Linked DNA regions of Lonchura striata. The protein of the gene in region 2 purifies or fractionates together with the protein of the main gene of each other region. This does not show direct contact. Links are inferred from orthologs where the notes say so. Each region holds a gene or a part of one and is shown on either strand. Other genes may lie near its edges.

Region 1 (8,311 bases), on a different chromosome or scaffold from region 2:
TATTAAGTTCTTCGTAAATAATGAGATAACTCACTTCTGTAGGCACTGGAGCAATTAAACCTGCTTTAAGGAATCAGTCAAACCAACCATCCAACAGAAGGTGGAGCAGAACCCCTTTTTCCGTATTTGGGAGAATTGTGTTAGAGCTCTTTCTCTCATTCTCTTCTATACATTATCCTCACCTTCTTTTTTCTCTAAGAAAGTAGAAATACAAATCTGTACTTCCTGTCCTCTTTTCAATGTAAAGTTTTGTATTTGTTTCCACTCATGCCCTAGAGCAGATCAGAAAGAAAAGGAAGTCTTCCATTAAGCTGAAGCTTAAGCTTACGGGATGCAGGAGCACCTATGGTAATCACCTCATCTTTATGAGGGAGAGTAAGCAAGGGACTAAAGGGAGACTGACCCACCAGCCTCAGTCCTGGCACATCAGACTGTTTCTGGGCTGCACTTGTTAGCCCAGATCACAAAGCAGATTACAAAAAAGCATTCCCCTGGGCTAACACTTTGCCCTGTCACACCACCAGTTACTGATGCCCACTGCCCTGGTGTGGCACATTCGTGATTCTCCCAGGACACTCTGAGCTCAAACATGCTACACATCCGTACACGTTCTCATAATGCACAGCAGCAGGACCAGGCAAAACGGAATCCAGCTACCCAAGTTTGCCTACTGTGGCCACATGACACTTTCATGAGAGCAGACAAGGTACACGAGCACTGGACTGGGCCAGGGCGGTGCGTTCAGGCCCGTTACACGGGATGCCACCAGCAACCTACTCTCTCCTCCCAGTGCTCCCAGCTGACAGCCAACGGCACCTAAACAGCACAGACACAACAAAGTTGGGCTCCAGCCAACATTTCAAGTGGAGCGTACAGATAGATGTTCCCACCAGGCTTTGACCAGTGAAGTACATCTCCCGCGTTACGCAAATCCTGCCCTGGCTGTTTCACAGGAGCAACAGTGATTCCAACGTGCTCAAGGCCCTCTGTGCCTGCAGCAGCTTTGCACCATGACCCAGTTACCAAATCTGGGCAGACAGCTTTCAAGGAAGCTTAGAAGGACCAGGTTGTGCCACCATCTTAGCTTCCCTTACAAAAAAGGCATTGTGGGCCACGACTTAGGTGTGGCCACCAGTATTTACTACTGTGCGCTGTGTGTGTCCAATGACACCACATCTAAGCTGGAATTTCATGGCAGCAAGTGCAGCAGATCACAAGGTTCGCAACGGATTCACAGATACTAAGTTATGGGGAAAATGGTAATTGGAAAACAAAAATCTCTACAGCCACATCTCACCCTTTTTTTTTTTTTTCTTTCAATCTATTAGCCTAATCTAGGTTTACAAAACAGTAATTTGAAATATTTGTGTTCTCCTGCCTCTGCTGATCAATAGACAGGAGGTTAACGCTGTTCAGGCGAGGGGCCACAGTTACGACATCCAACTGTCCATGCTGCAAACACAACAACAGTTTGATAGGACAAACTAAGCTACCTATTTCAAAACTGAGGGATGGCAGAAAAGTGACTTCTTCATAAGCCCCTCTGCAGCCCAGACAAAATCTTCTTTATGTTCCCAAACAAGAACAAGTCCTTTTACAGTTTATGCTCATATGATTTAAGAACTGTGCTGCTCAGAACTTCGCTGCCTACCTGAGATAGATTTAATCAAATTCCATTTTGAAGTATTTGTAATTGAAGTTTTGTTCAGTCCCCAAAGAAATCAAGACAGTTGTGTAACTATTTAATTGTTAATGTAATCACTTACAGGACATTTTCATAAGACTGTAAAGTGAACACTGGAGCTGAAAGTGAATTGTGGACACTGGATCAATTTTTAAATTTGATTTACCGCTGCTGCACACCAAAAACAGTTCTATAAACGCCACACACAACACAAACCCTATTATTTAAAAATATCAAAGGTAGTTCCACAGGGTCTTTAAATCTGCTAACTCAGACAAATGTTGTGGCTGTCACCATGAAACTACTACATGAAAGTAATTACTAGTCATGCAGTATGTCAAATTTATTTACCTGCAAACAAATACTCTTCAGCATTAAGTGTTAGTAACTCCCTTTTATAACTGTATTTTGAAATGTACGTCCCTCCTGTGGTATAAATAAAACAAACTAGCGCAAATCATTAATTTGCTTCTTACATGATAAAGGTGGTAGGAAAACAAAGCAAAACAGTTAAATATTTCCCAAAAGGGTGGCCGGGGAGGGGGGGCACACACCACCAATAAGGTGCAAGCTGTATCTGCATCACTAGCGTCCTGTCAGTAAAATAAATTGAAAGTACCAGAACGTTTATATGTTTGATTATGGGTTTTACAACGAAGCAGACACAAGTCCTACAAGTCTCTAAGAACATTTCGGCAGCTGCTTCACCTGGAGGGGTGGGGGGGAATTCGGCAGACAGCTCCCTACACCTCTGCAAAACACGACTGCAAAAAGAAAAAAAAAAAAAAAAAGAAAAAAAAAAAAAAAAGAAAAAAAAATTCAAGTCCACAAGCGCTGCACAGCCACCTACACACGCGAAATGCCCACGGAGGGAATCACAACCCCGTCGGCAAACACTCAGTGGTCCGCAAAGCGGAGCTGGGCTGAACAACGCGGCCGCAGAAGACAAGAGGAGAAAATGGGGGCGGGGGAGGTGGGAAAATGGGGGGCCCTCGGCTACTTTGCTCGCCGCTGTTTCACAAATAGCACAAACCACCCCCCAGCCGCCCCCACCGCCGCTTCCCCGGGGGATGCTCGCGCAGGGCCCGGGGCGGGGGCAGGCCCGGGAGGAGCCCCCCGCCCCGCCGCCCTCTCTCCCACCGCATCCCCGGGGAGCCAACAGCTTCCTGTCCGCCCCGGGCCGCCGGCAGGACCGACCGACCGGCCGGGGCGGCCGCAGCCCGGGCCTCCTCGCCCCCACCCCGCCTGGCCGTGCCCGGGGGCCGCGGGGGCAGCGCACACCCGGGGAAGGCGAAGGGAAAGCGGCCGCCCCCTTTCCCGGCCCTTCCCTTCCCTCCCGGCCCCGCACAATGCGGCCGCGCCGAGCAGGCCCCGGCCCCGGCGCTTCCTTCCCCCAGCCCTTCCCAGCCGGAGAGCGGGTCACTTACATGGCTGGAGCCCCGGAGGAGGCGGCGGCGGCGGCAGGGGAAGGGAGCTGGGGAGGGAGTCAGGGGAAGGGGAGGGAAGGGGGGAGCGAGCCAGCGAGCGAGCGAGCGGGGGAAGGGGGCGGCCGGCGAGGCGGGCGGGCTCTGCGGCGGGCGCCGAGCGAAGGCCTCACTGGGCTCCCGGCAGCCGCCGCCTCCTCCTCACCATCCCCGGGCGGCGGGGCGGCTCCTCCTCCCCCTCTCGCAGACGCTCGGCCCGTGGGGTTCGCACGCCCGCTCCGGCAGCCGGCTCGCCTTCCCCGCCGCTCCGCCCTGCGAGGCCGCCCCTCGCCTCTCTCCGCCGCCGCCTCCCCCCGCAGCCCCGGGCCCGCTGCCGCCGCCCGGGCCGGGCTCGTCCCGCGGCGCTCGCTCGCACCCTCCGCGGCGCGGCCGCCGGGCCCCGCCGCCGCCGCTTCCCGCCCGAGCCGAGGGGCCGCCCCGCTCGCTCAGCGCCGCTCCCCGGACGGGGCTCGCGGCCTCGCCACCCTCCGAGCTCCCGCAGCGCGGCGGAGCAGCGCCCGCCTGCCCGGCCCCTCCGCCCACCCGCCGGCCCGGCCCCAGGCCCCGGGGGCGGCGTTTCCTGGCCCCGGGCGGCTCCGTGTTCCCCCTTCCCCTGGCACCGGCCCGGCCTTGGGCCGGAGCGGTGGGGACGCTGTGCCCCGGGAGGGGAGGGACGAGGCTTCTCCTGACTCGGCCTGTGAGCCGGCTGCCTGGAGCATGGACAATTTCACAGAATCACAGAATCAATTAGGTTTGAAAAGACAGGTTAGCGAGTCCAAACTATGACCGATCGCCCCACGTCAACCAGACCATGGCGCTAAGTGCCGCTTCAGTCGTTCCTTAAACACCTCCAGGGACAGTGACTCCATCACCTCCCACTGGAATGGGCAGCCCATTCCAATGTCAAAACACCCTTCCTGTGAAGAATTTTTTGCTAATGTCCAGCCTAAACCTTTCTCGGTGCAGCATAAGACTGTGTTCTCTGGTCCTGTCATTGATTGTCCGGGAAGAGACTGAGCTCCACCTGCCTACACCCTCCTGTCAGGGAGTTCTGTAGAATTATAAGATCCTCTTTGAGCCTCCTTTTTTTCCAGGCTAAAAACCCTCAGCTCTTTCAGCTGTTCCTTGTAAGACTTTTTCTCCAGGCCCTTCACCAGATTAGTGCCCTTCTCTGGACAAAGGGCATCCCCAAAAATGAGGCATCCTGCCCCACATAGGTGAGAGGCTCAGGCAGCCCCAGCATTTTAGACTCTAGGAAGGGCCAGGCTCCTTTAAACCTCTTGGGGTGCTTCCAGCAAGCTTCCCCAAAAGCATGGGATGCCAGTTCTGCTTCTCTGCCCTCAGAGTTTTCCCTTACAGTATTCCTATAATATACCAGATGATTAAATAACGAGGTACCAGAGTACCTGGGAGGATGCTCAGTATCCCTTTCCACATTGGACAGGCTGCATTAAGGAATTGCCCATGGAGGGGCTGGGGTAGTGATTCTGGATGTTGCACTCGAGGCCATCCTGCTTTCACAGTAGGAATGGCTCAAAACATGACAAATTGCTTAAACTATTGCTTACAGCATGACAATATTTTTGGTAAGGTTTTTGAGAGCCATTCTGCTCTAAAAACAATGCTGTGGAAACCCCTATGACAGATTAACATTTCTCTGCCCTTCCACTATCAAAATTTGTCTTCTTCGGTCATTAAGAGATCTTGCTTATTCTCAAATTGACAGTGCCATAAACGTTAACTGGGTTGTAAGAACTGATTGGATTTCTTCAGAAACATACGATCACTGATGATCACATTTCTGCAATCCGAAGCTGGCTGGAATTTAGGAAACGGCACATCTTCCCACAGCTATGCACCGTTGGCAATATAAAAGTGCATAAAACGCATTTACAGCAGTAAAGCTAGGGAATACAGCTCTGCCTTTACAAACTTATTGGATATAATAAGAGGCTTTTTTACCACATCATTTTGACGATTGTAAATGTTTATTGAAATTCACTTTCTTCTTCCGTTTTGATCAGCTAGGTCTGACTGATCATATCTGTAATCAGGGTTACCGAGTGTCAAATGGATTCCTGGATTTTGGGTACGCTGGTGTGCTAGAGGAGCCAACGATAAGGCAGAGGAGAAATGTTTCCCATTTCTTCATGGAGGGTGAAGAAAGAGTAATGCCTCCTTTCCCACCAATGTACAGAGTAGTTCCTGCTGGCAGAGCAGCTACGCCAGTGTGGGATTTTCTGTGTGTCACCTTTAGGTTTACTGGGGCATATTTCAGCACAATTTTAAAAATGTACAATTCAGGTACTTTAGCAGAGTAAGCAGGCCCCGTGGTACTGGCCCAGTTACCCAGGGCAGAATTGAATGGCTGTGGGAACTCTCTAAGATGTAAAGCTAATGGAAAGGAAAAATCTGGGTTTGTGATCACATTTTGACCTACCATGCATTACTTACAAAATACGTAGTGTGTATTAAAATGTAGGTAGTCCTTAAAGATGTATTTAAAATTAAATTCATCATCAGTGTGGAAAACTTGCGGGCAGCTCAGAGGACATGTATTTTCCTTAACAAAAACACGGACAAAATTAATTTATCAACTAATTTTGAGTCTTCAGGCTGTAGTTACATCTAGAAGTAAAGAGTGCATGTAAGTATAGGAGTTCACTGGCTGTGAGACAGTGGGGGCAGGGGGATCTCTGGTAATAGATCTGATTTCAGGAGAGCTTTCTCACCTTCCTGACAAACCCTCTCCTGATTGATAAGCTCCCAGGCTTCGTGGTGAGCAAGGTCATTAGGACTTCCCCCTGCAAATGAAGCAGCAGTTTAAAAAATAAGATCACAGAGTAAACAGTTTTCTGTCCTGAAGAGAAGAAAATAAACGTCCGTTGTTTGCTAGAAAGGAAGTACAATTAAAAAAACCCTCCAGATTTCAACATGAACATATTGTTTAGATTTGCCGACTGTTGATTTACCATGATGAAAGACAGGCCCAAACTAGAAAGTTTGGATCCCGATCTGGATCTGACATTCCCCAAATCTGAGAGGGAAGTGTGATTCAGAGTCTGGAGTAAGGGCTTATCTCTCAAACACAGCAAAGTACTGTGGATAAAAATACCCAGGTAAAGTAGGAAGTGCCTGGTCTGCAACAACAAGAGTGACTTTGTATCAACAATGAACAAAAGCAGCTTTTTTTTTTTCTTTGAGAACAATGAAATCACTCAAGAATTGTTATAAATACAAACAATGTGGGTTTTATCACTCAGCTATCATCAGTGGGATTATAGTCTATAAACCCTAATTTTCAGGGAAGTCCCTAGATTCCCTGAGCGCTTCTTCAAATTTCACATCTGTTAACTCTAGTTTATTAAGTGCTTCAGGATAAGATGCATCAACTGAGCCTTGGTATTACATTACCCAAAAATACTGAATGTAGGATTTAGTGGCAAAGAATGGATGATTTCCAGACAGTGTATTGATACCACGCCAAAAGAGCAGGCACTCCTGTTCCCACCCATTTTTAACACATATATAGGTAACAATTAATTCAGTATCACTTTTAAAAATTATTTCTAAATTTTTAAATTATGAAACTTTGGATAAAAATACAGTCAGGCATTAGAAGAAAGATTAGAATGGTAAGATGAAGTGGAATTACTGAGTTAACCCCCAGTAGAACAAGCTCTGTTCCATGATTCAAGTAATGACAGCACCTCTGTGGGCCAACAGTGAATTTGTTCCTCCCTTTTTAAAAGGTGGGCTGTACTCAGAGGAAAAAACTGTATGACATCTTATTAGGATCACAGAGCTGGTATCTCAGTCTAGGCATTAATAGCTTTTAAACAAACAACACAGTTTTGGTCTCAGTGAAGAATCTAGCTCAATATAAATAGAAATTAGAAGTGCTTTTCACAGTGCCAAATATAATAAACATACTTGTGCTTCTAAAACTTAACTAATCCAATGTTTGAAGGTGTATTTCTCAATAGCAAAACAATAGCAGGCTCTCTGGAAAAAAATAATAAATATAGTCATGCTGAAACATTGTGCATTTGCTTTATAGAAATTCATCTGGAGACTAAATAGATGTATGAGTTCGTCTGTAATTCTCCAATTAATTTCCTACAAAACTGCTATCATCTGAACTGGTAACATTGCTGGAGAGCAGCACTGAATGAGGCCTTGCTGCTCTTCCTCATGGCTTGCTGAAAGTCCTAGAATAGGCTGGACAGGAGACCTTGCTGTGGTTTCCTGCCTCTGTTCCTGGGATGCTAAAGCCAGACAGCCCTAGGATGGCAGGGTGTCACTGCTGTTAACTCCCAAGTGAGAGCAGTACACTCCTCTTCACCAGGAATAATGATAGCCATGACAAGGGGCAGATATGCTGTGGGGAGTTTGATACGTAAACAGGAACCCAAGTGGTTTGCATAGAAGATTCACTAAATAAAGCATGCAAAAATAGCAGATATTCAGTTCTATGCCATACCCCACTGCAATAACCACGACTCTCAGTCTGGACTAGGCACCGTTTGGTGCTGTAGGCTCATCAGAAGACTTGGGCTTTGATCCTAAGGGACTGAAGTCTGCTTCAAACTGCTGGTTTTCTCCCTTCCTTGTAAAGTGACTTGTCATGAATTCTTAGATCAGGAAAGATACCCAAAAAAGCTAAACTCCAATGATCTGTGTGAGAGAACATCACGATCTTAACTATAGTCAGGTAGGCAAATCCTCTGAGACTGAAGTACTGACATTATAGGCACATACTAAAATAAAAGCCAAAAACTTTCAGGTTCCTGTTGCATTCCCAACACTCACACACCCAGTGCTGATTATGTTCTTCACCTAAAATTACAGAGCTAAGCACAATGTGGGCATATTAACCTGGGGGCTATTTCAGTGGTTGATTACCCCTGCAGATCCCCACATACAGATCTCTGTCAAAGGAGCAGCAGCCACTCTGCTGGATGGGCACAGGCTCAGCAGTGGGTTCTTGGAGCACTGGTTCTGGCCACATGGATCTCCAGCTGACAGGAGCACAGAGCAGCTCAGTCTTCATCATGACATTTGCAGTTTCCTAAAGAGCAAGAGTTTCAATCAAGTTTTTAAGGTTTTAAGCATTATGGTGACAGGGGCTTCCCATATCCTGTAAAGTGCATATACCTTTGCC
Region 2 (7,385 bases):
TCACTCAAATGTTTTCAACCTCTGATGTGTCTGTGACACGTTAACATCTCTAAGAAATAAAGCTCTTCTTTTGGCATTGGCTGGCAAATGAAAATATTTTAATAATCCATAAAACCAGGCAATTCTGAATGTTCAGCATAAGGCTGAATAGGAGAGCATAATCATTTGGGGCTGCTCTCCCTGAAGTTTTTCCCTGACTGTAGCAGGTGCATTACTAGGAGGACAGGTCATTCTGTTCCAGGGAGCTTTGGAGTGCCCATCCCTGGAGGTGTCCCAGGAAGGGCTGGAAGTGGCACTCAGTGCTCTGGGCTGGGGACAGGGTGGGCACTGGGCACAGGGTGGGCTGTCAGGGATTTTCCAACCTAAACGATTCTGGAAAAAACCAAATTCTTGTATATCCTGTCACATTCTGTGATGCAGTTCTAACTGAACATCTCATTCACTTTTCATTTCCTGAACAGGAAGAACCAGCTTGTCAGTTTTTCTTTGACTTGAACAAGCATCAGGGAAAGAAACGTCCCTCAGAGAGGAAAGAGGGAGGGGACTCCCAACCTAAGCAAGCCAAGAAACCCCGTAAGTATGAGGATGCTTTTTTCCTGAGCTCTTCCCTCGAGGCCTTGGATGGACCACATCACTCCAAGTTGTTCCTCAAGCTGTTGAGCTGTCGGTGTCAGCTGGCCAGAGAGCTCTGTCACTGCCAGCTGCTGGGGGAATGCAGGAAGATGAAGGATCCCTCTTTTCCAAGGGAAGATTGGCTTCAGTAGGTGAAAGAAGGGTCAAGAGTGTAGTTTCAAGGCTCTTTGGGTCTGTGGTGGTTGTGGTTGGGCTGATGGCATTTACCCTCTGAACCAGATATGGCACTTCCAAAAAGCTCAGCTCAGGTATCACAGTTTGGGTGTGAATCCAGGTGTTTTGGGTGTGATGGATAGACCAGAACTGACAAGTGTGTTTGACAGCATCTGCCCTTGTCTTTACCTGTGCAGTAATTTTACCTCATTTTGATTTGTTTGCTTATCATTTGCTGGTGTTTTCTTATTAGTGAGCTGCAGCTATTAACTCCTGGAACTACTAAGCTCCTCCTTCATTAGGTTACAGCATTCCAGGAGAATGGCAGTCAGCATGGTCTGACTGCCACTACCTCCTTTCTTGCTGGAATTTCCCTGGCCAGAGCTGTGTCCTTCTGACACCTTCAGCACTTTATAAACTGGGAAGGGTGTCTGGAAAATACCAGGTTGTCTGTGTTGTGACAAATATCCCTTCTGCTAATCCTTGATTTCTTTCCCAACAAAGCTCAGCCCACGGGGCCCTGCTGGTTCTGCCTGGCCAGCCCAGAGGTGGAGAAGCACTTGGTTGTCAGTATTGGCACACATGTAAGTACCTGCAGCATGGGCTTTGCTAGGTCAGAATCATGCTAAGAGATGGCAAAACAAAATAACAATCTCCGATTTTAAACATAAAACAAACTTTATTTGCAGCTGGCTCTTGGGTTTGCCTTCAGTTCCTTTGCATCTCCTCTACAAGCACATAAGCTTTTAAAAAAAAGTGAAGTGTGGCCCAGTTTTGTTCCAGCAGCAGAGCTGGATTCCAGTGCCAGAATATTTTTTCCTGTCCCAGCCCTCTCTTACCATCTGGCAAAACTTTTCCAGCTGGAAAAAAGCTGGAACTTGCTTTGGGAGCAGGATGCACCAGTGCCAGATCTCTCTGGGGTGGCTGGTTACAGTTTTGTTCTATAGAGATGAAAAAGGTGTCCAAGATGTACTTCAAGATGTTGACTTTGAAGCTCAGTCCATCATTGTTATATGCACTTTCTGCTCCTGTATAGCATAATCCACTTACAGGGACAGGTTTGTCCACAGGTTTAGTTCAAATTTTTAAGTGGATTTTTGTGTCAGAATAAGAAATTCCTGCCTCACTGGTGAAGTTCACTCAGCAGCTTCCCTGCAAAGAAAACATTCCTCTGGCATTCAAAAGATTTTTTTTTTTTGTCATTTGGCAGTCTCTTTGCCTCTTTCTCATTCTTCTAGTGATTAATAAATTCAGTGTAAAAATAAAATAAAATGGCTAATAAAGAATCCATAATAAGCAAGATAAAAGACTCTCCTTTACTTGTGGCTACTCAGACTGAGTAGTCAGAGGGTGAATTCCTACAGCACAGTGAGTAACTGGTGTGTGTTGTTTCACTCTAGTGCTACCTTGCCCTGGCCAAAGGGGGTTTGTCTCCTGACCACGTCCTCATTTTGCCAATTGGGCACTATCAGTCAGTGGTGGACTTGTCTTCAGAGGTGCTGGAAGAAGTGACCAAGTACAAGGCTGCTCTAAAGGAATTTTTCAGAAGCAAGGGAAAGAGATATGTCCTATTTGAAAGAAACTATAGGAGTCAGCATCTGCAGCTACAGGTATGGTTTGGGTGTTGCTCTGGGAAAACATAAACTTGCACTGAATATAAACTCCAGATGAACACAAAGAGTAATTTTGGGGTTTATCATGGTGGTTTCTGTGTGTGCAGGTCTGTAAGTGTATCAGAGCTGTATCAGAACTACCACAGAGATGAGAAAGGAGAGGGCTGTGCTGAGAACTTTCAAGCCTGGGGTTTTCAGCTCTGTCCAGCTCCTACAGGGTAAAATGTCTCATAAGTTTAAGCCTGTAGAGATGGGTGCTCCCCTATCTTGTGTGATGAGGCTGAGCTGTACTGAGGAGCCCATGAGCTCCAGTGATGGACTGATGGCTTTCTGCAAATTCATTGTCTCGTCTTCTTTTATGGAAATGTCCTCCCTCTCCAGGTCATCCCTGTCCCACTGGACCTCTGTACATCTGAAGACATCAAGGAGGCCTTTATTACACAAGCACAGGAGCAGCAGATTGAGCTGTTAGAAATCCCAGAGCACTCTGATATCGCGCAGGTATGGGGCCAGATTTCACCTCTTTGCTCCCCCTGTGTCCTGCCTAAGCTGTTTCCCTCTGAGGTCACTGTGTGGGGTGGGGCCAAGCTGTTGGAGGCAGAACCTCATCGACTTGGTTTGGGGATGTACCAGGATTCTGCTCTGGGAGAAGTTCCCAGGTTCAACAGATGATTTCTCAGCTAAGAAATGTGAGCATGGCCTCATCCTCCAAAAATTGTATGTAGTAGGCTGGGTGACCTAGATGAGGTTAGGAACAACGAGACCTGCCTGGTTCTCATGTAGTCACTCACGGCAGAATTAAACCACAAAATGTCATAGGTGATCCCACCAGGAAGTGACCCACTGCTCCTTCCTCCCATGGAAGGTATTGTTGGAGGTGAGGCACTGACCTCAGGCAGTTTATGGGGTTATTTTTCCAAATTTCCTCCCAGAAGAGAGCATGGCATAGCTGAAGTGGCCGGGAGGAGGGTCTGCCTGTCACCTGCTCTCAGAAGGGTGGCCAGGAAGGGGCTGCCTGGGGCGGTGGTGGAGTCGCCACCCTGGAGGTGTTTAGGGTGCAGAGTGGGCGTGGCAGCGCCGTGGTCCAGCTAAAGGGCGGTGGTGGGTCCCAGGCTGGGCTCGATGGAGGTGTTTCCCAGCCGCGCTGATCCTGTGCTTCCGTGGTTCCCTCGGCACAGGTGGCTCAGCCGGGGACGCCGTACTTCTACGTGGAGCTGGACTCGGGGGAGAAGCTGTTCCACCGCATCCGCGGCCGCTTCCCGCTGCAGTTCGGCAGGTGCGCGCCGGCCCGCCCGCTCCCGCCGTGACGTCACGGCGGCGGGCGCTGACGTCACGGCGCTGTCGTTGCAGGGAGGTGCTGGCGAGCGAGGCGCTGCTGGCGCAGCCGCAGCGCGCGGACTGGCGGCAGTGCGCCGCCCCGCGGCCCGAGGAGACGGCGCAGGCGCGCGCCTTCCGCCGCGACTTCCAGCCCTTCGACTTCTCCCTCCGCGACTGAGGCGGCGCTGCGCGCGCTGCCGGCGCCGGCCGGTGACGCGGCAGTGAGGGCGGAGTGCCGGAGCGAGCGGCTGAGCCATGGAGCGGGCCGGCCCCCCCGCGCCCGCCGCCGGCGAGCGGGCCCCCGCCGGGGCGGCGCTGCGCGGCCACCCGGCCGGCGGCTGCGGGCCCTGGGAGATGCGCGACCGCCTGGGCACCGGCGGCTTCGGCAACGTGTGCCTGTACCAGCACCAGGTGGGGCCGGGCCGGGCGGCGGGGGGGGCACGGCCGGGCCGGGGCGGCTGACGGCGCTGTGTCCCGCAGGACTCGGGCGACCGCGTGGCCATCAAGTCGTGCCGGCTGGAGCTCAGCGTCAAGAACAAGGACCGCTGGTGCCACGAGATCGACATCATGAAGAAGTGAGTGCGGGCCGGCTGGCACGGCTCGGCTCGGCTCGGCACGGCGGCAGCGACAGGGAGAGGGGCCAGCCGGGGGTCAGGCCATGGACTAGCGGGCAGTGCGGGGAGTCAGCCCCGGACCGGCTGCGGAGATGGGACCGCGCTGTGGGGACAGCCGGGGGTCAGCCCCTGGGCCTCTTGTCACCTGGCATGCCTGTGCTGCTTTATCCCTCATCCCAGTGCCCCAGCTCCTGCCTTGGCCTGGGAGCTGGTGATCCCCAAGCCCCCTGCCCTGTTGTGCCACCTGGGCTATTCACCCATCGAAATTCCTCCAAACTCACACCACCCTGTGGGTTGAGTTCTGATGTTGTGATTTGGGAACGCCCACATGTTCCCATACCGTGCGGTACTTTTGGTTTTGATTTAGCAACCAGGGGATCCTGGAATTGCTTTTTTTTCTGTCACGCTGCCGAATGTAAAGAATAAATTCTCCTTCCACTTCCTTGTGAGAAAGTCCATGCTATGTGCTGCCCAGCCTCCCTCTCCAGTGGGTGAAACAGGGCTGGACAGCTTTGGTCTCATGGATGTGGGGGCTGCCTCTGGGTGTTTGGGTCTCACAGAACTGCTCCTGAGAGAGAAAGAGAGATCTTGGAGCAGGAAATCCTCTGTCCCACTGGTGGGAGCAGGGATGCTCTGAGTTGTCCTCCCCAAGGCCTGCAGTGACCCTGGTGTTCAGGGCTTTTCTGAGCTCCTGCTGTCGCTTTGTTACCCTCACCTGCTCACTGTGTGCCATGACGTGGGAAACCACTTGCAGGGAACACGAATTTTTAAGTCAAAGCTTGGGTGATGTTTGATTTGGGTGCTGGAAACAACCACTGAGTTATGAGCTGCTCTTGCATTGGTGTCCAGAGGCTTTGGAAGATGTAGAGGGGAATAATTTGCTTTCATTTCCATCTGGATATATTAATTCCCAAGACTAGCGTGTATTAGAGACAGTCAGGAAGTAGCTGTTTCTGTAGCTGGAATTCAGCTGCAGAAGTTAATTTTTCCCTCTGAATGTGGCTTTCACCTGCCTGGTGCAGTTACACAGGTGTTATGGGGTTTTTGTGAAATGACTGGGCTAGGGGAGTCTGTTCCTACATACACACACACACATGTAATGACACTGCCAGGATGGTGCAAGAATTCACAGCTTGAGTTTGGATCCCCATCACCAAAGTCCTGCACCTTGCATTTGAGACATCAGTTCTGCTCGTCACTGGTTTGTGTATTCCCAAGGTATGGGTTTTATGCATTTGGGTACGGTAGGTACCAGCTGATGAGTGAGTAAGGATTCCTGTGGGGAACAGAAGCTGTCCCTGGAACATAAAACGTGGTTACATTGCAAGCTGTTGTCTCATTCTCCCAAGAGAATTTTCATCCAGCTCTCTGTGTGCTTAGGCTGAACCATCCCAATGTGGTCAGAGCCTGTGAAGTTCCTGAGGAGATGAACTTCCTGGTGAACGACGTTCCTCTCCTGGCCATGGAGTATTGCTCGGGGGGCGACCTCCGCAAGGTAATGCCTGCTTGGCTTTCAGTAAAAACCAGATACCACTAACCCAAACAGGGCGTGGTAGCGCTGCTCCTGTCACCAGGCCTGCTCTGTGGAGCTTCTCTCTTTGGGTATGATGTCTAGAACAGAGTTAAAGAATAAAGCAGGGATTTATTAAAAGGATCTCCTCAATGGATCCACCTTGGGCAGCACAGGACCCCAGCCAGGGCTGCACACCAAGATGAACCAAAATGGTCACAAAATGCACAACTGCTCTCGGGGTCTCTCACTTTTAGTTCTGCTCCATTTGCGTATTAGAGTTAATTATCCAATTACAGCTCCAGCCCATGAAGTCCCATCCTGCTAGTTTTTCTCTCTTCAGCCCACATTGTTTGTGCTCTTGGGCCTGAGATTTGGATCACTTGTCCTTGGTCCCCAGCTAGAGAAGGAATTGTTTTGTCTCCCTGTTCTGTGCAGAGAGCTCACCATCCCATAATGTGAAGCTCAAACCCACACCCTAAAGCAGCAGAGAATCTAAAAAATATAAAAGCTAAACCCTGAGGCATCAGGTACACGTGTGAGGAAGTTAATGTAGAGTGGGAAAAAAAATGTGTGTGGGAAACGAGGCTTGTGTTTTTGAAAGCAGAGGGCAAGCCAAGGGCAGATACTCTTTTATCCTGGTGTGTCCTTTCGTGGAGCTGCTTTAGCATTAGTGCAGCTGCTGCCACCCAGCAGGTTTGGCTTTGCTGCTGTGTCTCCATCTGTTCAGAGTCTGACTGGTTGGGATTCATGTGTATCCAGTGTTATGTTGCAGTCAGCATGGGGAGTGAGCCTATTTCTGCTGGACTGGGACCTCCAGGGATTCTGAAGCTTTGCTATTCCTGTTGAACTGGGAACTGCCAATCTGCACACTGGCAACACCCAAAAATAAAGGAGCCTTTCAGTAGTTCTCCAGGCAGTGGCTTGGTGACCTGGTAGAGTTTGTGCTCCCCTTCCATTACAGCTGGATTCAGGAAGCAGCAATTTCTAGAGGGGTGAAGCAGCAAATCCCCATCAGGATTTGCTTAGAAATCACCTGGGGAACAGCTCTGGGGAACGTCAGCCAGTGGTGAATGCAGTAATCCCATCTCTTTATATGGTTTTGAGTTGTTAAAAACAGTCCAAGAAACACTGTTAAGGTTTAAGTCGCAGTAAAAGAAGGAGCATATATACAAAAGCATTTGAGGTTTGCAGAAACAGGCACCTGGCCACTGTCCCAGAGACATCTGGCTGTTGTATTAGTGCAGTAAAAGTTTGGAGACTCCCTGAAGGCAGATTAGAGACCCTGGCTGAGAAATTAGCTCTACTTGCAATGCAGTGTTTGGTCACTTCATTTGTGATGAATCCTTAGGTGTGGCATACATGCTGAAATAATTCAGGAAGTAACATACTTCATTTCATGTGATGTTCTGTACTGCTTTAAAAATAACCATAATCTGTTTTATTTCTGCTTGTGTTCTTTAAATCTTACTCTTGTTTGACATAATTTGTGTTTCACTTCATTAATTTCTCCTTGTGAATCCCTCATGAGGGCCGAAGCATCTG
Region 3 (7,413 bases), on a different chromosome or scaffold from region 2:
TGGAAATGCTGTGATGAATTTTCATTCAAACTCTTGGCTCACTTTTTTTCTTTTTTTTTTTTTTTTTATTTTTAAAGTATAAATTATGTCTAACAAGAAACACACCAGGGATCTCTTCAATCCCCCAAAGGCACTTTCTTAAAAGGAGAGAGAACAAAGGAGAAAACCTCCCAGCATGTGCTTTCCAAACCAGCTTCTTAGGACAGTATCAAGAATGACAATACTTGAACATAAGCTTTTCTTTTTCACTCTTTGATCCGTGGTTAATTGAATTGATTATTGCAAACTGTGTAATGATTTCCAAAATGCTGGAGTGGAAGGCGAAGATCACAACAATCTAATAACCAATTTAAAGAGATGTAAGAAATATTGAAGGAAAGATTTAATCACTCAAGTATACTCCTTCCAATTAGAAAGAGCTTTAAATAGCTTACCTTGAGATAAATTAGAGTCTGGGTGCAATTAGACAGGAATAGTAATTAAGATCAGGAAAATTCACATACGCCTCAGCCTATGGAGTGAGGGAGAACTCTGCAGCAGAACAAACTTTGCAGTTACCTTGTTTCAGCAGCAGAAAGGAAAACATCCTGCTTCAATTTACCCCAACCTTCCCAGTCCCAGGAATTCAGGAACCTCACCAGGCCGGGATCTGCAAAGCCAGGTTTCACCTTATCTGATTTTTTTTTTTTTCCCCTCCACAGAACAAACAAAAATGGGGGCAAAAAAGGCTGAAAGGCCCTCGCTTGTGGTAAGGAAATAAATTAGAGGAAAGGCAATTTCATGATTAAAACGCCATGAAAAATTGTGGCAAGTAAGACTGACCACTGTTTTTCTGAGGGAGCAACAACTTTAATTTTCCTTTGGCGATAGCACCCATCATATCACATTCCCTAATTTCCACATGTCACATTCCCTAATTTCCCCATACATAGCCCCAGGGTTCTCTGCACAGGAAGGCAACAAAGTTTTAGAAACTTGAGTAAGTTTTTCTAACAAACTTTTTCTGGCCAGGCAAAAGAGTCCCTGCCCAAGTATTACAGTTGATTTTAGTTTTTTAAAGTCACTAAATCTGAAATCAATCCCATTTGCTAATTAATCAGAGGAGAACCGTGCAAGGTTTTACCTAAGAAAATAATTAAAGGAATTCACTGGTCATTCTTCAAAGAGCAGAGTCTTAATCACAAACCGTCCCTTAGCTACTTTCAACTCCCAAAAAAAAGAACTTAAAAGCACGTTTTCTGGGGATTTACTCCTTTTTAAAAAATCCCCAGTGTCCCCAGCCACGATGTCAGAGCTTTCCACATTTTTCTGAGGAGCTCCTGCAGCACCTGAGAGCCTGGAGAGCTGCAGGGTGACAGCTCCCAGCCCAAGCAGGAGATTCTGTGTCCCCTCTCCTTCCTGACGGAGCGGCTCCCACCCACGCAGCTTTTTAATTCTGTACAGTCTAAAGACAAAAAAAAAACAAACAAAAAAAAATCAGAATGTCCTGAGGTCTTCCAAGCATGAATTTATGAAGTAATTACTTTTTTGTTAAGCAAACTGCCAAGCTCCCGTGGCTGCAGAAAAAAAAAATGCCCAACTTTTCACTGCCATCCTCCAGTCCCTGCCTGCAAGTACCACTCCAGCCGCAACCTGAGCAGAAAACTGAAACTGAGAATAAAACAGCAACTTTGGCATTCACCCTCCACATCCCTGAGGCAGCAACAGCACTTTACGAAACATAAATTTTAAAAACTCTGATTTTTCTCTACCGGTTCTCGAGAAGGAGACTTCTAACAGTGATCAATGAAGGGGTTTGGAATGACTTTATTCCCTATCTCCCATCTCTTTGAACTCCCTTTGAGTCACTCTTGCTAATAAAGGCATCACGTAAAGCCAAGCTGGCTGCTGTGCACCACCAAACTCTCGCTGCTACTTACCAAAACACACTATTCCATTTGCCACGCTAAAATTGACAAAAACTTGAGCACTGGAATCACATCTTAACCCTCTGATCTCGTTATGTGGGAAGCAGAGCTTGAAAAGAAAAAAGGCTTAAGGACTACACAGCTCAAGCAATACAATGTGGTCTGAAGACACGCAGAAAAACGAAGGCCAGAGGAGGATTTAAAGGAGGATCTGAAGGGTCCTGACCCACACAAGTCAGAACACACCGAAGATTTAATATTTCTTAACCCGCTGACAGCTCCTTAAGCATCTAAAAACGAAAGCGCACGGTACCTTTGATAGTCAGAAAACCGAGATCTACCAAACCTCTAGGAAAAGACCAAATATTTCCTTAGTCATACCCGAGCCATTCCGTAGTTTATGTTACACGTTTAACACGCCTGTGCCCGTACCCATTTCAGACCCACCTGATTCCAGCCCTTCACTCCGCGAACTTTACAGGAGGAGGAGGAGGAGGCAGGAGCCCTCCCGGTGAATAAGGAGCCTGTGAAAAGTGCGAGGAAACTCCGCAACTTTTCACACCCTGCAGGGTGTGCGGGGCACAAAGTTTCGGGGGGGTCTTTCCCTGGGATTTTCGGGTGGGTGCCTACCACCCTCTACCCTGCCACCGCTCTTCCTCAAAATCGCTTTAGGAAAGCCCAAGTTCCGCGTCGGGCAGAGCGGGAGGAGCTCCTTCCCTCCGGGCTGAGCGCCCGAAAAATCCCCCCAAATCCCCCCCGAAACCGCCCCGGGCGGAGCGGCCGCCGGCCGGGCGGCTCGGAGCGCCCCGTCCCCCCGCGTTCCGCAGCATGACAGGGACCGCCGCCAGCTCAGCGCCGCGGAACTCCTCCACATCTGCCTGTGACGTTCTTTATTTACCGGCGGGCCGCGCCGCCGCCGCTGTCACCGCCGCTGCCGCTCCCGCCGGACTCCCCTCGCAAACTTCGCGGGGCGCCGCGGCGCCGTCCCCCCCGCCGGCCCCCACACCCCGCGGGGGGCTCCCCGCGGCCGCCGCCCTCACCCGCGGCGGCGCCGCCCGGCCCGGCGGCCGCGGAGCGGAGCCGCCCGCGCTGCCCCGGCTGCCGGCGGGGCCGCCCGGCGGAGCGCGGCCGGCGGAGTGTGTGTGTGGGGGGGTGCGGCGAGAGGAGGCAGCTCCGCGCTGCGCTCCGCACCCACCCCGCCTCTCAACCCGCGCTGCCAGCGCGGCCCCGCCGCGGCCGCTCCGGCGCGGCTCATCCCGCCGCGGGCCGCCGCCGGCCGCGGCCCCGGCGGCGCCGCGGGGGGACGCGGAGAGCTGCGCTTTACCTTTAGTTCCGCACTGTCCGCCATCTTGCGACTCCGCGCGCAGGCGCAGTGAACCCCGCCGGGACGCCGCCGCCCCGCCGCCGCCGCCCCGCCCGCCCGCAGCGCGCAGCGTTTGAATCGCGGCGCCATTTTGTGCCTCCTCCGGCCGCGCCGCTCCGCGCCCTCACGCCGGGGCTGCCGCTTCGCCGCGGCTCCCGGGGCCGCCCCGCGGGGCTGGAGCCTCGCCCTGCCCGTCAGCTTCGCCCTGCCCGTAGAGCTTCGCCCTGCCCGTAGAGCTTCGCCCTGCCCGTCGAGTTTGGCGCTGGTGGCGGCGCTCCGTGAGGGGAGCGCGTCCCTGCGGGCGCCCCGGCTGCTCCCCTCAGCCCCGCGGCGCCACAGGCAGCGCCTTCCTCCGGTGGTAAATGCGGTTATTAACACGGGACCGTGCAGCTGCGGTGCGTGAAACAACGCCGATCACCGCGTTTTTAACAGTTTTAGAAGTTTGGTCATAATAAAATTATTATTAAAATAGTAATATAATTAAAGTGTGAAAAACGCTTGGTTTTTAAGATTTTTTAGAAGTTTAATAATAATAAAATTATTATTAAAATAGTAATGTGATTAGAGTGTGAAAAAACGCCAATCACCTGTTTTTTTTAATTTTTTAGTTTAGTAATAATAAAATGATTATTAAAATAGTAATATAATTAAAGTGTGAAAAACGCTTGGTTTTTAAGATTTTTTAGAAGTTTAATAATAATAAAATTATTATTAAAATAGTAATGTGATTAGAGTGTGAAAAAACGCCAATCACCTGGTTTTTTGAATTTTTATGTTTAGTAATAATAAAATGATTATTAACATAGTAATATAATTAAAGTGTGAAAACTGCTTGGTTTTAAAGATTTTTTGAAGTTTAATAATAATAAAATTATTATTAAAATAGTAATGTGATTAGAGTGTGAAAAAACGCCAATCGCTTGGTTTTTAAATTTTTTTTTAAGTATAGTAATAATAAAATCATTATTAAAATAGTAATATAATTAGAGTGCGAAAAACGCCAATCACTTGGTTTTTAAAATCTTTTAGAACTTCAGTAATAATAAAATTATTATTAAAAAAAAATTATTAGAGTAATAAAATTTAGAGTTAGGACAAATGCAAGACAATAAAAAGCAAAGAATTACGGATGTCTGGATGCTCTCGGACACTAAGTCACAAAAAAGCAGACTTTGTGAACAAAGGAATAACCATAAAAGCAACAGCCTGTTGCATATTCATGTATCTCATACATGATGCATAAATTCTTTGCAAATTAAGAACTTTTCTCCTTAAGGTGGAAGAATGTTTGTTTTTTTCTGAGAAGGAGGAACTTTGTATGGGCCCCCTTCGCTGCCATCTCTGTGTGAAGAGTTTCTCGATTATCTCATCCTCCTGCTTGAGCTTGTAACAAATCCTGTATCACAGAGTTTCTATTTTAACATTGTGTTGTAACCTAAAACTGTATTTAACACGCCACTTAAGAGAATTAATACAGCAGAACTTCCTAATGTTACACATATAATATTCATTGTAACATTTGCGAGAAGCCAATCATAAAATACACATTTTTCACAGATTTTTGCTACTTAATGCACAGGTTTGAGACCTCTAGGAGTGGAAAGGGATGAGGCCGGGGTACCTCAGTGGACACCAGCTCCTGGTGTGCACCAAGCTGGAAATTATCAGTTTTTCAGGAAATTACAAGTTTTATTTCAGGGAATTTAAAGTAACAACAGATTTGAGGTCCAAATGCACCCATTTCATGTCAGTTTTGAGTGAAATTTGTGTTCTTCCAACAGCAAGCCAGAGGGGAAAATACCTACCAAAATCCTGCCTGGCAAGATGATGCATCAGTTGTGAATTTGGGAGGATTAAACGTTAGTGTTCAGGTCATTATAGCTTGATTCAGCTTCTTTCTACCTGGGTGTTATTCCCCAAATATTGATCACCATGACAATTTCTCTCCTTGGCCTTCACCTTAATGCACAGAACGGAACAAAGAACAAAATTTCCACTTTTTCCATAGCTGCCGTAAAATCCATCATCCTCCATTCCCAAAGCACTTAGAGGATGGGCACTGAAAATAAAATAAAGATTTCATGTCCCAACTCTGCAGATTCAAGCAAGGAGTGCAGGGAACCTGGGGTAATTACAGAATCAAAATTTATAACATTTGCCTCAGAGGGTTACCCAGGATTTAAAATTAAGTGGTTTGTGTTGAGGGAAGAATGGGAGAGAGGTGTCAAAAGTGTTTAAGGAGCTTTTTGATGCAATGCTGTTTATTGGTAAGAATATTTATGTGCAGTCCTGAGGAAAACAACTCCTAGTAAAGCAGGGATGAGAATGGAATGGTATCAGGATGTGTCACATTCCATCAATCCATGACAAAACTGTATGGATTTTGACCAAGGTGGACAGGTCACGTATACTTAACCTAGAAAGAGAACACATATAAATTATATGAGCATACATAAATAGATGAACATATATAAAAATAAATATATGAACGTATATATAAATGATACGTGATTTTTGATGGCATCATGTTTATGGTGAGCATATATAAAGTCCTGATACGCCCAGCAAAGCAAACAACTCATATCTCTTTCCAAACTTTCCATTTCCAAGCGTTTCACCCAGAAACATCCTCCAGACTGGCAGAAAATCGGGGGAGCTGACACCCCTCTTTCTTCATGCCTCATCCCAACTCCATCGGTGGCCCCGCTCTCCTGGATCCTGCCACACTCAGGAAACGAGCAGCAATTAGAGGAGGCTGATGAGCACACCCGGACAATCCTGCGTGCAATGAAGATTTCTCTCCGCGTCTGAAAGGCTGGTTTGGGGAGGGGGCAGGGTGAGACAGCTAAAAAAAAATAAAATCAGATGACTCCAGCACGCCCACAGCTCCCAGAATTAGCCCATCTATTTCAGTGGTCTGAGGCAGCCCAGTGCAGAACCCTTAATTTGAAATTATTAAATACGTGTCATAATCGTCATCTAACATGATCAATGAGTTCATGGCGAGCTGAAAGAATTCGGCCTTAAAGCTCTGTAATTGTGTGGAGAAAAATCCTTGCTTTATTTCAATTACTTTTGATTTTTTTCCCCCCCTGAATGAGGCTGCTGCACAGCCAAACAGCTTTTCCTCTGCTTCTCCACTTCCTACCAAATTCAGTGGGATGTGGACGTGTGCTCCGAGTGTTTTGCTAAATCATGGCACAACACTATCAAACTTGACACGTGGCCATAAACCACAGCGTCCTCTCTCAAAACTGCCTTCAAATAAAACAGCCCCAGAATGGCTTCGGCTGCATTAAAATAAGGAAGCGAACTAAAAAAGGGGATACAGAAAATCGGGTTTAAAATGCTCCTGCCGGTGTTTTTTACAGCCAAACCTCGCCCAGGCTCTTCATTTTTTTTTTTTCAGTTTGGGCTTTTTGATAGTCACTCCCTTTTCAGTGCAGAATATACTGGAGGATGGAGAAGGAACTTAATGAGAAAAACAATCTGCGCTTCTATTTTTAGGCCATTATTTACATGTAGTGAAATTTTGTTCCTCTCTGCTCCCGAGGCTCGGCTGATGGTTTATTGCCAAAAAAAGCCTTTGTCAACACTCAGTCATTTCCAGAGGTGCTCGCAGTGGCTCCAGCTGTGGCAGTCATGGCAGCACTCAGATCTTAAAAATTAAATTAAAATTAAATCTTCAATTTTTCTCTCCATTTCCAAAAGAAAATACTGGGATGCAGCTGGAGTAAGGGAGAACAGCCCCAAACAATCCTCAGGTTGTCTTGCTTCTGAGCTAAAGCTAATATTTTTTTGAGCTTTGACCTCTGCGGAGAGAGAAAATGAAAGATCAAGATTTCCCTCAAACCTCCACAATTTTGATATTTTCAATTCCCAATTTTCCAAAGTTGTGTTTCCCCCTTTTGGCCGCATCGCAGTAAAATAAATGACTTGAGAATTTGTCTCTTACCCCCCCATTTCTTTTATTCTCCTCTTCTGTAACTTCCCCAAAAACGTATCGTGTCACATAACTCACATGCTCAAAGCCATGTTCAGACACAATAATATTTTTAAAGATATGCATTTTTTTCTGTGAACATGTTGTTTTCATTAGTCCGAGTAGCCAAGAGTTTCTCCTCTTTGTCTAATAATCCAAAT
Region 4 (8,266 bases), on a different chromosome or scaffold from region 2:
TGGATTTGTTAGCGTGGTCATACTGACTTTTGTGCAGATAGGGTGGATGTCACATGTACAAGGGCATAAATTCAGTCATGAGAGTCAAACATGGCATAAACTAACATCATGCTTCTTTATCTGGGTGTCCCTTCCAAGAATAAGTTTGAAGTCACTTATGTATATTAATTTTTCCATGCTAACAGCAATTAAGCATCTAGGTAGTAGTTATAAGACTTGTGTGTGAAGATGTGTACTTTTGAATGGTGAATCTCTAAAGTTGCATTGATATCACTTGATAGCTTGGGACTGGCAATCAGTACCATATAACCTGGCAAAAAATATCTCTGCCCAAAACTGCAACAAATGCAGAACCTTGTTCCTATTTACAATGTTAATTACCTGTTGCTTCCAATCAAGCTACATGCAGTCACTATGACCAAAAGTCTTGGAAATTCAAAAGAAATAATAACTTAAAATTGTAATGTCTGTTGAAGTGAGCTGTGTAACATTCAAGAAGAGGGAAGTTTTTTTATTAGATGGGAGGGAACCTTCCCCCTTGCGCATGGAAAAATGCTACTGCTTTTTTTTGGTGTTCTTATTAAGTAATGAGGTACTCTGAATAGAAGCTCTCTATCTAATTACTTATTTCAAACCCAGTGTTTTGGGGAACTTTTCAAAGAATGAGTATCACAGGAAAACAATGTCTAGCCAGGCTTTAAAGCAAAGACTACTTATTCTATTTAACATGAGATATTGGCTTATGATAGCTTGAAATGTCAAATTATAAAAAAACAAGGATGGAAGCTCAAAGACTCAGGGTCACCCCAACCTTCTTTGAAATACAGGGTAATTGATACGTATTCTCAATACTAAGGACACACCAATTAATGCATTATGTATCTGTGGTTAAGATAATAAAAATTTTGTAGTTTAATTTAGCCAGCCCTTACAAAAGGTATGCATACTTCTAGTGGTTAATTTATGTTCTGTGAAGTAGCTGTCATCTGTATACTTGATTAATTTTAAAGCAGTTCTTCCTGTATACTATTTGAACATTTGTATTCGGTTGGGTTCATATTTACCAAGTACCAACATGTGTTATGAAAATTTTGAATACCATTTGCTAGAAGAGAGGAAGTTATGTCCAACAATATGACTGGTGTTCTTCAGAAGAGGATAGAACTGTGCTAAATGGGTTTGTGGCATTTTTCTTTTTAACACCATGGTTATGTCCTCTCCTCTAATGCCTAAAGGGCATATAAATTCACAAGAATCATAACCTGGACATTAGGTCATCATGTCATATTCCTAATCACTGTTCAAAAGTGCTTTGCTCAGTTTTAACTGCATCTGATCTGATGCAAATTCTAATCTGTAATGATGTGACCTGCCTGCCTGGTTAAGGAGGAGCACTGAGCACATTAGCACAGTAATATGAAAAAACATGGAACCTTTGTAGTTTAATGATGCTTCCAGCACCTAAGTTTCTAAGAGGTGTTAAACTTTAATTGGAGAAAATTAGCACCTTTACAAGCAGCAAAACTCAGCGGCCACTGAGTTATTAGTCAGTAATGGAACGGAATAAAGAACAGAAGCCAAAGTTGGTATTCCCAAATGACCAACAGGAGACAAATAGAAGGGTTGCTATAGCTGATAACAAAAATATTGCCTCTGTCAATGATGTTTCAAAACAGGGTATCTCAGATCTGTTGCTGTAAATGTCATAACCCACTCCATCTAAACCTTTCCCTTCTGCTCAGATTTTTCAGCTGATGCATCTTTTCACTAAGGAATGATTTCCCCCCCACTTTTTTTTCCTCTTGGAAATAGCAAAGACAATACCTGTGTCAGATCGTCAACAAGTTACACAGGAACCCGTGGGAAAGGGAGGAGAAGCCAATACAAGGGAAACAAAGGTGTTATGCAACACAAATTTTCACAGGAGCAGAGGCAGCGTGGGAAGAGGAAAGGATGGGATCTGTGCAGTAGCCAGTACCCGTGCAAAGGTGTTGCAGTCGGTTCTGGACACAAAAGTGTGCATTCCATATGGGGATCGGGAAAGGCTGTCTCGGCTGCGGCGCCGGGCCGTAGCTGTCGGAGACGGGCGCCGCGGGCGCTGCCACTCGCGCGGCCAAAAGCGCCTGCTGGGCGGCAGCCGGGACGCGCTAACGCGGGGCTGCTCTGGCCTAGTTCCTCGTCGGCCCATCTGCCTTATCGCCCTTCTCCTCCCGCCGGCTTCCTGCCGCCGCGGCCGCCTCCTCTCTACGTACCGCGCCCTCGCCCAGCGCTTCCCGCTCGCCGTGCCCAGGAGCCCCTCCGCAGCGCTGCGGGATGGGACGGGGCGCTAACACCGCCGCCGGCCATCTCACCTCGGAACGTCACCCCCCTTCGCACCCTCGCTCGCGGGGTCGCCACCGTGGTTTCGGTTTCGGTGCAGCAGCGCGGCCTCGTCCAGCTGCCCCCTCTCCGGAGTTCCTGCCTTACCGTGCTCTGGCCTCTGAGAGTCCTGCCGCTTCTCCGGGGGCCGCTGGCAATGGGGCTCGCCCCCAGCGCCCCTTAAATTATGCCTCGGTCCCGGAGCAGGATGACGCGGAGCGAAGGAGGCGGCTCGGAAGGCTCGAAGCGGCGCGGGTGCCGCCCAGTGACTCCTTAAAGTGCCCGAGCTCTCTGCGACCGGCGCCACACGGCGGCTCTATCGCTGCCTCGCCTCTCTGGGCACTACCATACTTGCCTAGAAGTGACTGTGTCGCTTCCTCAGCTCTGTGGGCACCCTGATCGGTGCCGCCAGAAAAATCTCTCACTGCCTGAGATCTCTGGGCGCTACGATCCACGAGCCACACCTTGGCTTTGTCCCTGCCTGAGCTCGCTGAGCAATGCGGTCGGTGCCACACGATGGTTCTATCGCTGCCTCAGCTCTCTGGGCACTCCGAGCCGTGCTACACCGTGACTCTGTCGCTGCTCCGGCCCTCCGGGCACTACGATCGGTGTCTGCAGAGAATCTTTCAGTGCCTGAGCTCTGAGCACTGCGATCGGTGCCACAAGAGAATGTGTCACGGCCTGAGCTCTCTATGTATTACGATCATTGCCACGCCGTGACTGTCACCTGTCGAGCTCTCCGGTAAGTACGATCGCTGCAACACCCTGCCTCTGTCACCTGCCGAGCTGTCTGGGCACTGCCATCTGTGCCACACGGTACCTCTGTCGTCTGTCGACCTGTCTGTGCACAGTGATCGGTGGCACACGATGACTGTGGCACTAGCTCGAGCTCTCTGTGCAAACTGATCGGTGGCATAGCCTGACTCCGTCAGCCACCGTGTGTCTGTGTCGCTGCTCGAACTCTCTGGGCAGTGCGATCGGTGCCACAACGTGACTTTGTCCCTGCCTGAGCTCTCTGGACACTGCGCTGCCCCCGCTCCGCGCTCCTGCCTTACCGTGCTCTGGCCTCTGAGAGTCCTGCCGCTTCTCCGGGGGCCGCTGGCAATGGGGTTCGCCCCAGCGCCCCTTCAATTATGCCTCGGTCCCGGAGGAGGCGGAGCGAAGGAGGCGGCTCGGAAGGCTCGAAGCGGCGCGGGTGCCGCCCACTGACTGCATTAAGCGCTTTAGTGCTCTAGGAAATGCGAGCGGTGCCGCCACAGAATCTGTTCCTGCCCGGGCTCTCTGGGCACTGCAATTGGTGGCGCACAGGCTCTATCCCTGCCTCAGCTCTGTGAGGACACTATATTTTTCCCAAGAAGTGACTTCGTGGATTCCTGAGCTGTCTGAGCACACCAGTTGCTCCTACCCTGTGGCCCTGTCACTGCCTCAACCTTCAGGGCACTATAAACAGCGTCGCATCTTGACTCTGCCGCTGCTCCATCTCTTTGGGAGCTGCGATGGGTGCCACACCATAACTCTTGTCACCTGTTGAGCTATCTGGGCAGCCCAATCGGTGCCACACCATGGCTCTCTCACTGTCTGAGCTTTCTGAGCATTGCGATCACTGCTGCATGGTGACTGTCATTGCTCGAGATGCTTGGGCACTCCAATCCGTGCCACACAGTGGCTCTATTACCTGTTGAGCTCTCTGGGCACTCTGATCCGTGCTACACCGTGATTCTGTCACTGCTCCAGCCCTCCGGGCACTGCGATCAGTGCTGGCAGAGAATCTGTCCCTGCCTAAGCTTTCTGGGCACTGCAGTCGGTGCCACACAATGGTTCTGCCACTGCCTCAGCTCTATGGGCACTACGATAATTGCCAAGTGACTTTGTTGCTTCTACAGCTCTCTGGGGACTACGATCAGTGTCACATCTTGATACTGCTGCTGCTCCATCTCTTTGGGGATTGCAATAGGTGCCACACCGTAACTCTGTCACCTGTTGATCTATCTGGGCGATCCCGTCAATGCCACAATATGACTCTGTCACTGCCTTAGCTCTGGGCACTCTGATCTGTGCTATGTCTTGACTCTGGCACTGCTCCAGTCTTCCAGGAACTACAATCAGTGCCAGCAGAGAATATGTCCCTGTCTGAGCTCTCTGAAAATTGTGATCGGTGTCACACGGTGGCTCCATCATTGCCTCAGCTCTCTGGGCACTATGATAATTGCCAACAAGTGACTTTGTCTCTTCCTCAGCTCTCTAGGCACCCTGATTGGTGCCGCAAGAGAATCTGTCACTGCCCGAGATCTCTGTGCGCTATGATCCATGCCACATCATGTCTTTGTCACTGCCTGAGATCTCTGGGCGCTATGATAATTCCCAAGAATCAACTTTGTAGATTCCTGTGCTCCCTAGACACTTCAATCACTGCCACAATGTAGCCCTGTTTCTGCTTCACCTCTCTGGGCACTAGGGTTGATGCCACACATTGATGCTGGTCCATCTGTTTGGGGGCTGTGATCAGTGCCACACAGTAACTCTGTCACCTGCCAAGCTATCTGGGCAGTCCGATCAGTGCCACACCATGATCCTGTCACTGCCTGAGCTCTCTGGGCATTATGAGCCTTGAAAACCTGCTGATGCTATTGATTCTGAGAGCAGGGTGGGACTTCAAGGCGTTGGAAATACCTTTGTCTATGGAATATTTAGTGCTGGATATGTGGGCATTTTTTTGTGTTCAGGAAGGCCCGAGGCAGGAGTTTGTTTGTCAACAGAGTTACTAACACAGATGACAGCCCTAGGGACAGTTGCAGGAATACGTAACCAAAAGAGTCACTGTAAATCATGTAGTTCAGCCTCTTCTGGATGTCAGGTATGTAGTTAATACAGCTTCTTTACAGAAGGGCCTTCCCACTGCCATTCCTCTTTGAAAAGTTTGGTGATAACGAGTGTCTAATGTCTTTACCATGATCTTTCCCACTCTCGAGAACTGTTGCATTCCCTATGATACTTTCAAGTGGTAGTGACAGAAGAGCAGCAGCATATCAACGTGGTAGGGCAGCATCAGCCCACAACTATGTTTTAAATTTTTTCCTTTGATGGTCAGCAATGCAATATAGGAGCTCCTAAACCATCCATCTACCCTTATCTGCTCTTCCAGGGATGGCACTGTCTGCTTTGTGCCTTGTGTTGGCCCACACAAGGCTGCTGGGAGCAGGGGCTCCTCCCTTCTGGCTTTCTGGAAGGTGTCGCATGGGAAAGACAGGTGGGACACGGAACGATGCGGGCGACCCTGGGTTTGGAGAGATAGCACAGCCTTGGTGATCACTTTCAAGGAGAACTTTTCTCTCTGATTATGAAACTGCCCTATGATGGGCAAACTGAATAAACAACTTCTTTCTAGGATTTTGCAAAAAGAAAAAAAAGAAAAACGGAAGTTGACAGTGGAATGAGAAGAATTGATGCAGGACCAGCACATTCCTGTTTTCCACCCATGCTGGATTAGCTGGTATTCAGACAAAACTGGAGTTTAATGCTCCGACAGCTCCTGATGTAAGGGCTGATCACACTTACTGTAAAGAGGAGACTCAGGACCAAATGCTGACTTGTCACACTGAGCTCACTGTAGTTTAAATGCTGCAATTTTATGTCCATCCACACTGTGAGGTATCACAAGGAGAGCTTTATTGAACCTGCAGTCCAGAGAGTCTGGGACATTTGTCAGGTAAATAAAGCAAATGCAAATATAGACATGAAATATGTTATAATTGGCCACCATCTCTGGTGGGCCAATTATTCAGTTTTTGTCTTCTGCAAGCCCAAGCATCACAGAAAACTTTGGATTACATTTGACTTCTAAGGGTTTTTTTTCCCCTTTTTATGGTCAGTTGGTTTGTCTGGTTTGCTTTTTCTGCTGTTTAGCTTTGCATTGGGTATGGGGCCAAAGGTGTGGTCTAAAGATGGGAAGAGAGATAGCTGAATTTATTAGAATTGCTTGGTTAAAAACTTGTCAGTCTCATTCAGTGGTGATTTGCCAACAATCACTATGCAAAGAAAGAGGTTTATTTGTCATTTATTTGTATGTGCTTGGAGGTTGGTGTTGCCAGTTTTGACATTAATTCATTAAATGAATAGGGAAAATAAACTGATCCAGAAATGCAAACTGAATTTACAGAGAAATGTCTTAATTCTGATAGAGGAGAAGGAAAGATTCTCTTGAAATGGACAAAATGATTGGTACATTTTTAGTGCTTTTCTCAATAATGAATTTATCTGAGCAGAAGTCTTCAATTTTAGTATTAATGAGAATTTAATAAGCCCATTAGTTTTCTTTCAACTTTAACTGAACTTGCATTAATCTCAACATTCACATACTTTGTACTACAAATCTCAACCAACTTACTAAACTTAGTGCTACCATGTGTGGGAGCTGGCATGTGTCTGCCAGATAGTGTCAAGCACAGTATCCTCAACATACAGGTCAGTCTGACATTCTTCATCTAATAGTTAACCCCACTAAGCTCTGCAATTGATCCCAAGCAGTAAGATTGGTTTGACATTGCAACTTCTGCTTTTACCTCAATTTCCTTCTTTCCTGAATAGTCTGCTAATTGAACACAGTGAATAGAAGGATGATTTCTCTTCTATGCAATTTTAAAATTTGTGCTCAGATTTCTTTCAGTAACTTTAAGTTGTTCTCCTTAAGTCTTTAAGGCATGAATCTGCTTTCTCCACAACTTAGATGTGTAGTACTTTCTTCCTTATTCCTTTTCACTTTCCTTTTCCTATAACAAAGCTGTTGAGACAAAGCAAATTTTCTGCTTCTGCAACCTAAAGACTCTGGCTCACGTACCTCACAGCAGACATCTGCAACAGCTTGGGGCAGCTCTGCTTCCTGGGAAATGTCTCTGTTGAATGTGGCCCTTTGCTTCATATGGGAGCAAACAGGAAGACTGACCTTTTCCTGTGGTGGCATTTCCCAGCCTGGTGTATCAGTTTACACAGAGCCTCCAGAGCTTGGGTTCAGCATGTTTATTATCCAATTAGTCCCTAAGGAACTGTAAGGCTGGGGTGTGATAAGACTGCCACAAAGCAGGTATGGCAGATGCATAGAGGCTTAGTTGTCTTTGACAGGGACTCAGGGAATGGGTTCTTACAGTGGCCACAGTCTTTTAATATCAAAGTGCAAAGGCAGCTGTTAGGTGAGCTGGTCAAAGCAAGAAATTCAGTAGCTAAGTGAGAAACCCACCCCCTTGCCATATGCACAAACAGGGTTAACAACTCTAAAGCACAAAAATAACACTGCTACATTTCCAGGTAAAAATCCTGGATATTAAGAGCCAGACAATTCATTTATCCCATAGATCCTGACCCATATACAGACAGTGCATCTGCAGGCTTTCGGGTTAGTGCTCTGCCTCACTATCTGCTGGTGCTGGAGATCTCCAAGGAAGCTGATTGATGCTGATGCTGGAGGGGAAGCAAACACCCTCCAGACCCAAACACCAACACTGACTGGTGTGAGAGGGCAGGCTACAGACAGGATTCCTTTTTCTCTCTACTTTGGAAAGATGCATACTTTACAAAAGGGAGCTGTAGTCTACAAAGGAAGGTAAATTAATGCACATATCACTACATACATATTTATTTTTTTCTTTTTCTGGCATCTGTCATAGCTTTAATATTGCTATATAGATAGGATCTGGAGAAGCCTAGATTTAATCTAGAGAAGCCTATGGCTGCCCACAAGGATTTCCAGCTGTTTAAGACACTTTGCAATGGTACATCCTTTTGCAACACTAGTCATAACGTGGTTTTTGTTGCTCCAAGGCACAAATATAGCACTATCACAATCCATCTTGGGCTTTTAAAGGTTGAGTATGGGCACCATATTCCCTGGCAAAGGAAAAAGAAGTGTCAATTGGTA

The links.
Region 1: the proteins of CHUK (region 2) and AKT1 purify together in Homo sapiens (affinity purification with western blotting; 5 studies listed by BioGRID). This does not show direct contact. The link is inferred for Lonchura striata from reciprocal best matches to the Homo sapiens genes CHUK and AKT1.
Region 3: the proteins of CHUK (region 2) and PIAS1 purify together in Homo sapiens (affinity purification with western blotting; 3 studies listed by BioGRID). This does not show direct contact. The link is inferred for Lonchura striata from reciprocal best matches to the Homo sapiens genes CHUK and PIAS1.
Region 4: the proteins of CHUK (region 2) and RIPK1 purify together in Homo sapiens (affinity purification with western blotting; 3 studies listed by BioGRID, with this or other methods). This does not show direct contact. The link is inferred for Lonchura striata from reciprocal best matches to the Homo sapiens genes CHUK and RIPK1.

Annotation. Positions count from the first base shown.
Region 1 is NC_134608.1:8,656,735-8,665,045, reverse strand, and holds the start of AKT1 (RAC-alpha serine/threonine-protein kinase), read right to left. Parts: upstream 3,212-8,311; 5' UTR 3,112-3,211; intron 2,412-3,111; exon of another isoform or gene 2,393-2,411; intron 1-2,392. UniProt on the Homo sapiens protein: AKT1 is one of 3 closely related serine/threonine-protein kinases (AKT1, AKT2 and AKT3) called the AKT kinase, and which regulate many processes including metabolism, proliferation, cell survival, growth and angiogenesis.
Region 2 is NC_134609.1:37,312,540-37,319,924, forward strand, and holds the start of CHUK (inhibitor of nuclear factor kappa-B kinase subunit alpha), read left to right. Parts: upstream 1-3,997; 5' UTR 3,998-4,070; coding exon 4,071-4,127; intron 4,128-4,196; coding exon 4,197-4,291; intron 4,292-5,710; coding exon 5,711-5,825; intron 5,826-7,385. Other genes in the region: CWF19L1 (CWF19-like protein 1), read left to right, coding at 462-573, 1,291-1,370, 2,187-2,396, 2,781-2,900, 3,578-3,675, 3,750-3,894.
Region 3 is NC_134613.1:23,417,663-23,425,075, reverse strand, and holds the start of PIAS1 (E3 SUMO-protein ligase PIAS1), read right to left. Parts: upstream 3,361-7,413; coding exon 3,232-3,360; intron 1-3,231. UniProt on the Homo sapiens protein: Functions as an E3-type small ubiquitin-like modifier (SUMO) ligase, stabilizing the interaction between UBE2I and the substrate, and as a SUMO-tethering factor. Catalyzes sumoylation of various proteins, such as CEBPB, MRE11, MTA1, PTK2 and PML.
Region 4 is NC_134603.1:94,905,270-94,913,535, forward strand, and holds the start of RIPK1 (receptor-interacting serine/threonine-protein kinase 1), read right to left. Parts: upstream 3,495-8,266; 5' UTR 3,414-3,494; intron 2,626-3,413; exon of another isoform or gene 1-2,625. UniProt on the Homo sapiens protein: Serine-threonine kinase which is a key regulator of TNF-mediated apoptosis, necroptosis and inflammatory pathways.